Mus musculus: one gene and its partner. The protein of the gene in region 1 purifies or fractionates together with the protein of each later gene. This does not show direct contact. Links are inferred from orthologs where the notes say so. Each region holds a gene or a part of one and is shown on either strand. Other genes may lie near its edges.

Region 1 (3,743 bases):
AGACCCACAGGCATGCAGGGAGAAGGGCAGGACCACCATGGAGTGCCGAGCAAGGGCAAGGACCAGCGTGGCTGCCTGTTCAGGCTGTGGTAGGGTCTGACCAAGGGCACCTGCTGAGAGCATCCCTCAGGGAGCTGGGGAACTGTAGTCTACTTCCTCATCCCAGCCAGAGCTACTTCACATGGCTGAGCAATACCTCAGCCTCTGATGGTAGACAAAGAGGAAAAGCCTCCCCATATCGCTGCACTAAGAGCAGAAAATCTGCTGCTGTGAAAAGCATGCTCCCAACGCAGCCTATGAGGTGCTGCCACGCCTCCCTGGGAGGAATAGGATTTACTGCCTGAGCCTGCATGAGGTGGCTATGGCAAAGGTCTCTTTCTTGGTAATGGCATCTAGGAAGACGATGGGGGGATGGGGGGACACCAGCCCTCCCTATCCAGCTCACAGGAAGGAGCCAGATAGGCTGGGGCACTGTACTCTGTTCTCCTAGGCGTCGCTGCTGTGTCCGACATGTTTCTCTCTTCCTTTAGAGTCTCCTAAGAATCGGGATACAGAGCAACCCGCTACAGGACTCAGGAGGCTATGAAATAACACAAGGATCTTCAAGAGGGAAGATCGCCACCCCCACCCAGGGAAAAAAGATGGAAGCTTCTACCCATTCTCTCTCCCACTTCTGAGGATCCCCACAGCTAACATGCAATGCCTGCTCCCTACCACGTGACCAGACTTGACTTAAAGCACACTGCCCTAGGTTTTCTGCATCCTCTCTTGCACACTCCTAGAGCAGCCCAAACACCACAGGTACACACCTTCCCGTGCAGGAGCCTAACACTGCTGACAGGGCCTCGCTGGAGGACCAGCTCTCAGGGCAAGGCCACCCATTTAGGGCCTGGGAAAGGATGAGGTTTGCAGGGCCTGCCTGGGGGAGTGATGAGGCAGGGAGGGAAGGAGAGCAAGGACCCCCTGAGTATCCCTAGAGCAGCATCCCACAAGGAACAGAAACTGGTGAAGCTAGCGAAAGACAGAAAGCCACAAGGAATCCATGCAGGGGCTGGGGCTGGCCCTGCCTCTGGCCTGCCCGCCACTCACATACATCCACACAGGAGACAAGACTGCTCTCCCATGGCCCCCAGGCATGCCCCACTGGGATGAGGGAGCTTGGGGGGAGCTAGGGCATCATGCCAGTGACTCTATATACAGTGAGAAGCCCCTCATCCAAACTCCCACCCTCCTTCCCATCCCTCAAAACCCCCCAACAGGCTGCCCATTCAGCTCGTCTCCACCCTCTGAGACTCCTGGGCACATCCAGTAGCCTCTTCTCCTTTACTAGAGGGTGGAGCCTGGCCTGTGGCACCCTCTAGGGCTGTGCTGTCCGGCTGGGCCACAGCCGGCTCAGGGGTGGCTGCTGCCTTTGCAGCTGGCAGGGCACTGCTTTGAGTGGCGGGCACTGTGCTCTCTTCTGTGGCTGGTGTGGCTCTGCCATCAGTAGCTGGTGTAGCGCTTCTGTCAGTAGCTGGAGTGACACTCCCGTCAGTGGCTGGGGTGATGCTGCCATCCGTGGCTGGGGTGACGCTGCCATCTGTGGCTGGAGTGGCGCTGCCATCTGTGGCTGGTGTAGCACTACGATCTGCAGAGGCTATGTCATCGCTCTTGGCAGCACACCCAGCACCACCCTCTGTGGCTGCAGTAGCACTGGCCCCAGAGGCTGAGGCAGCTCCACCTGCAGCTGCAGCTGCAGCTGCAGCAGCGATGGCCCCACCAGCAGCCCCAGGAGTGGCAGCGTCTGAAGCAGACTGGGTCGCCGCTGTTCCAGACTGCTCTGGTGCCCGGAGCCGCTTCATGAGAGTGGTCACTCGGACAGCCTTCTGCAAGGAGGACAGTGAAGAAAGGTTCGTGGTGAGCTTCACTAGATCCACTCCTTCCAAACGGCTAAGCCCAGCCCCTTCTGTCGTGCCCCAGCTGCCGCTGGCTATCCAGCTACTCATTTCTTCAGCTCCTGATCACCGCGGCAGCTGCAGCCGCCTGTGGAAGCCTGAGAAAACTTGGTGTTCAGCCGAAGAGGTGCAGTAGCAGCAAGGAACTGTGGGGTGCAAGAAGAGGCACTTGGAACTGGGCCAAGGGGAATGCGAGCCAAAGCCTACCTTCCACTTGGCTCTGGCAAAGTTCTTCTCAATCTGGGCACAGACGCCATCCTTGATGTTCTTATCAGAAGCCGCGTTGCCGGAAATCCTAGAAAGGAGGCAAGTGCATCTGATGGGAATGGTCTGTGCCTCGTGGAGTCTGCACAGCCCTTCCCGGTGTGATGGAGGGCCACCAGGCAGAGTGTCTGGTTTGGCCAGAGCTCTAGAACGCCTTCCCTTGCCAAGACCTCAAGGATGCGGACTTCTGGTGTAAGACATTCAAAGCGCAACAGAGGCTCGCCCACTCCTCCCAGGGGGCCCTGCTCACCATTCGTGGGAGATGGCCTCTTCTGCGGTGATCCGCTGGTCTTGCTCCACCTCCATCAGCCTGGTGACCAGGTCTTTGGCTGGGGACAAAGCCAGGGATGGGCTAGGCAAGGGTGCCCCATCTCATTGTCTAGCTGTGAAGGATGGGCTGGGGAGCAGGAGTAGTAATCCAGCAGACGCTGAGAGCAGTGCCTCCCACCATGCAGCCCTATACTCTGCCCACAGGCCGGGTATCCCCTCACCTGCTTGAGAAATATCGTCCCAGTACGGAGAGTCAAACTCATAGTCACCAGCCAGGATCTTGCGGAAGAGATTCTTATCGTGGTTCTCATAGTCATCTTCTTCCACCTCCTCGTAGAAGGGCGGGTTGCCTGAAAGCCTACATGGAGTAGGGTCACCTAGGAGGGCCACAGACGTAATTGTCCAGCCCACCTGGCTGCAAGCCCAATTGTGTGCCCTGCCACTCACAGGATATACATGATGACGCCAATGGCCCAACAGTCTACAGGGCGACCGTACCGTTGCCGTCCTACCACTTCTGGTGCTAAAAAAAAAAAAGTGGTTATCTGCTGGTTAGACTCAAGTGTGGCCATATACAGCAGCATCTATACCCATTTCTTGGAATAGAGGCTTCTTCCCTACCCCAAAATCTCCCCCTGAAGGCTGTCCCTCAGACCATCCCCTGTCCCATCCCTCCTTGCCCAGATACTCCGGGGTTCCACAGGGCTCCTTGATAAGGCCATTCTCTAGCTTAGCCAGGTGAAAGTCGCTGATGACAATCTTTGAGTTCTTCAGCCTGTTGTAGTACACTAGGTTTTCCAGCTGTTCGGGAGAGAATGGTAGGAAGGGTGGGCAGAAGTCATCATGAGGGCCTCAGAAGCCGGACCAGAGCCCAGTGTGGCACTCATGCCAGCCCCAGCCCATCCCTCCGGCTCTGGCCTTACCTTGAGGTTCCTGTGCACAATCTTGAGCGAGTGCAAGTAGGCCACAGCCTCCAAGACCTGCCGCACCACGTTGCTCGTGTCTCGCTCCGAGTAGTAGCCCTGGTCCAGGATCCAGTCAAACACCTCCCTCCCCGTGGCCCTGAGGGACACCAGCCCCTGAGCCCGGCGTGGGCAGGGTCGGGGGTAGGACAGGAGCATTTGGGAGGCCTGATTTGTACCAGGCACTTGGCTGGGCAGGGCCCAGGGCCTTGGGACCCAAAGGGTTTCAAAAGTGGGTTTCTTTAGCTATAAAGGGAGGAAAAAGAAAAGACCCTAGGGACTGGGGAATCCTGGAACCCCAGTATGGTACTCA
Region 2 (3,743 bases), on another chromosome or scaffold:
CAAGTCATTGACTTCCCCAGAACTGCCTCCCCAAATGGTCAAAATGATTTAAGGATAGTCCCCAAAAGGTGAGGCTGATGCGAGCACCTGGAGAGGCCAGGGTGATGGTAAAGACTACCCTGCTTCTAGACCAGCCATCAAAAGGTATTCACTGGGGTCTGTCTGTGTTGTGACAGTGTCCTAGACTCAAATGAATGCCTCTAACACTCCACATTTTTGAGCCATTCAGTCATGCATTTTTGTTATTGTTGAAAGTGGTGCGAAATTGCACTGCATGAGCTAAAGTCCTTGGTGGTCTTCCAAGGATTCCAGCTAAAAAGGCACTTCCTTTGTTCCTCAGGAGAATGCAGTCCAGTAGGTCACTGAAAGGGGGAAATAAAAGCAGCAGCCCTGGGAGGGAGATGAAGGACAAGACAAAAAGAATAAAATGTTTTGGGTGTGAGCACATTAGCTTCCATTTCCTGCTGCTGGGCACTAATAACTCCCTATCTTTTTTGGGGGGTCCAGATAGACATTTATACAAAGATGTACCTCAGGTATCTTCAGTGCCCGTGACAATCAAAGGGAACACCCATCGTCCCTGACCATCACCTTCCCAAATTCCTTGTCCATCAGACTGATGGCTGGGGATGCTGCCATCTCTAGAGACTGCACACCACAAACCTGAAGTACCTGGGGAGGGTGATTTCATAGCCCTCGGCCAAAATGCCTCTAGACCATCTCAGAGGCACATATTGTTTGTACAGGCACATGGAAACTTGTCACTGTCCCATTAAGTGCATAGCTGCATGCCTCCCTTCAGAATGTGGGAATGACAACTGTAACCTTCACGCCAATCATCTCTGAAGCACCCAGGCTCGAGCCGTGCAGGGCACAAAGACCTCAGGTCTGACCTGCAGAGCTCCCAAGCTTCTGCGGCTGCCGGTTCAATTCTCTTTTGCTGGCAGGGCAGGAGGAAGAGGGAAAAGAAAGGGGGCTTTTCAGAGCTCTACAACCAATAAAATCATGAGTCTGGGAGGACATACTTGAGTTCCCAAAAAGACAGGCAGCTGAAGGGCAAACAGCCTTTCATCAGTAGCCTGTGAGTTACTTGACAACTGCCAAGGTGCAGTGGACGCCTGGGCTACTACCAACAATTTCTTCAGTTCTATTTCTAGATGGAGCCCGATTACACTCTGAAAGTACCCAGCCACTTCCCTCAATTACTTTTGTAGTTTATATGTAATTGATGACCACACTTAATCTCCGAGGTTATTAATAGCCTTCCAAAAGATGACCCCCAAGTCTTCTAAAGCTTTTGGAAGCGCCTGGTTAAAATTACAGTATTTCCTTTGCTGGCTGCTGGCCCCCTGCCTGCCCCACCCGGGCAACCAGTACAGCGAGGCAAAGGCGCACTCTGCACACTTCCATGAATGGTTCGGAATGGAGATTTGGCCTTCGGGGCTCGAATCTCTAACGCCTCCGTTAGGTTAAGCTGGCCAAAAGCCAGTTAGATTCGTAGCTCCTTCAGAGTCTCCAGGGTGAACAAGCTACCTGTGCCGTTTCGGCCGCCAGCCCGCAGGGCTGTGCGCAACAGTTGGCGGCTTCAAAAATCTAGTACAACAGGGAAGGAGGACTAGCCCAGGCACTGCCACCAGCGGGCCTGGAGACCTCGGGAGCAGGAGGGGAGGGCATACCTGATGCAGCCTCCCCAGCGCTCTAGGAGGACTTCCCCCAAATACCATACACAACCCCCCGCAACCCCCCCAGCGCTGAAATCCGGTGAACTTTTTCAGAGGCAAAGCCATCTTCATTTGCATAACCATCTCCAAACTGAGATTTAGGTTTCCTGTAATCAGTCCTTTCAAAGGTCTGTAATTGAAAGTGCAATTAACCCTTAAAATGAGGTGAGAAAAGAGAAAAGGAAGGGAAATACCCGTTTTATCCAACACCTTCCGGAAAGCTGGAGACTTCCCAAAAGTCGGGATTTGAAGGAGTAAGAAGAGTTCGCTTTTTAAAGGTGACTTCTAAAGCCCTTGCAGCTCCTAAAAACTAAACCGTGTCAGCGGTGGAAGAGAGGCGGCGGGGAGAGGAATTTTAGGAGACCGTCAATGAGCGGCTCATTCAAGTCTCACGTTTTGCGCCCCTAGGAATCTGCAAACTCCAGGAGGTTCCCCACCCCGCCCCCACTCGGCCTCGTCGTCACCCACACAACAAAGCGGGGAACCCAGTAAAGAATTCAACCCGGAAAAGGCGAGAGAGCCCAAGCCACGCACGTTGAGGGCCAGAGTCCCTAGTGGCTTCCCGGGAGTGAGAGGGCTGGGGTGGGGGGCAGCAGCAAAGGACCTGGGTGGCACTGAATAAACCGGCGGCGCCCCTCCACTCGCGGTGCCCGCTCAAAGCCGGGGCTGGCTCTCCTGCCTGCCCGTTTCTCCCTCTCGGCTACCTGATGCGGCGTGGGGGGGGGCGCCCCTTTTCCCGGGGTGCCCACCGCTCGGTAATGGGGAGAGTGCAGGATTCCCACCTACCGTTGATCTCATAGAGGGGGGCATCATTCTTGTTGAAGCCTTTGGACACGTAGAGACGTCGCACTTCCGAGCAACTTTTCGACTTGAGCTCCGCAGCCAGCAGCGAGGCGCTGAGCGCGGCCAGGGTGCAGAGGAGCGCGAGCAAGCCTAAGCGTGCCATGGTGCGGACCCTGACGGACGCGCTCCCACCTTTAGGGGACAGAATGAGACCCGATGGAAAGCAGCGCTGCGGAGCGGGCGGAGAGGCGCGGAGTGAACACTCACGAGCGGAGCGAGAACCGGGGAGTTGAAGTTGGTAGTGAAGGAGGAGGAGGAGGAGGAGGAGGAGGGCAGGAGGAGGAGACGCGGGCGAAAAGTGGAGCTGGGCCTCGAGTCAGGCAACGGTCCCCGGTGCCAGGCGCCCAGCCGGGGTGCGGTACGAGGAAAAAGGCGTGGAATGGGCGCGGGACCCAAGGGACTAGGGAGAGGATCCGTGACCTCGGGACTCCGAAGGCTAGAGAACCCGGGCCAGCTAGCCAGGGGCGGAGGGGCTCAGGGAAGGAAGGGAAGGTGGCAGGCGTCGCAGAAGAGCAGAGTGTGGGCGGCGTCGGCGGGCGATCGCTGGCGCGGGGCTTCAGCCACCCGGCGCTGCTCCGCTCACCCAGCCCGGCTCAGCTCACTGCCCTCGGCCGCACGGCTGTGCCCTTCTCAGCTCTGCCGCTGATTGACTGGCCCGGCTCGCACAGCGAGGCTCCGCAAACTTGGCCAAGCGGGGCGGCCCTAAGGGAGGGAGGGGGCGGGCATGAGGGGGGGGGCGAGCCCGAGACAGGCGGGAGCACGCAGGGCCGGGCCGGGAGAAAACCTGGAAGCTGGGTTGGATCTGGAGCGGGCCAAATCCACTTCCTAGGGGGCCCGCACGGGGCGCGCGGCGCTCCCTCTTGCGACACGCCCTGCTGGGCTCCTCCCTCCTGCCCTCCTCTTCAGAGGCGGGGAACCTGCCCCCCGCCCCCCCCCCCAGCAAGAGAGGAAAGGGCAGTTTCTTCCCGCTTAAGGGGCCAAGTCTCAAGAGATCCTGGTGATCTGGATCTTGGGGCCTTGAGCCCCTGTCTGAGCCACAAGCCTTTCTCCACAGCCACTTGACAGGCTATCCCCATGGGCCTGAGCAGCACTTAGCCCTCCAGCCCCAATACCAGCCTCGCTGCTTCTACCCAGCATCCAGGGCCACTTCTAACCAACACCTGGGCAAGGAAGGCACAC

The links. The genes of interacting proteins can lie anywhere in the genome.
Region 2: the proteins of Camkv (region 1) and Gpc4 purify together in Homo sapiens (affinity purification with mass spectrometry; 3 studies listed by BioGRID and IntAct, counting the BioPlex papers as one, with this or other methods). This does not show direct contact. The link is inferred for Mus musculus from reciprocal best matches to the Homo sapiens genes CAMKV and GPC4.

What each region holds. Positions count from the first base shown.
Region 1 is NC_000075.6:107,945,866-107,949,608, reverse strand, and holds part of Camkv (caM kinase-like vesicle-associated protein), read right to left. Parts: intron 3,531-3,743; coding exon 3,392-3,530; intron 3,270-3,391; coding exon 3,149-3,269; intron 2,992-3,148; coding exon 2,916-2,991; intron 2,827-2,915; coding exon 2,690-2,826; intron 2,596-2,689; exon of another isoform or gene 2,528-2,595; coding exon 2,449-2,527; intron 2,230-2,448; coding exon 2,142-2,229; intron 1,866-2,141; coding exon 1,269-1,865; 3' UTR 1-1,268. UniProt on the Homo sapiens protein: Does not appear to have detectable kinase activity.
Region 2 is NC_000086.7:52,162,109-52,165,851, forward strand, and holds the start of Gpc4 (glypican-4 precursor), read right to left. Parts: upstream 2,816-3,743; 5' UTR 2,668-2,815; coding exon 2,508-2,667; intron 1-2,507. UniProt on the Homo sapiens protein: Cell surface proteoglycan that bears heparan sulfate. May be involved in the development of kidney tubules and of the central nervous system.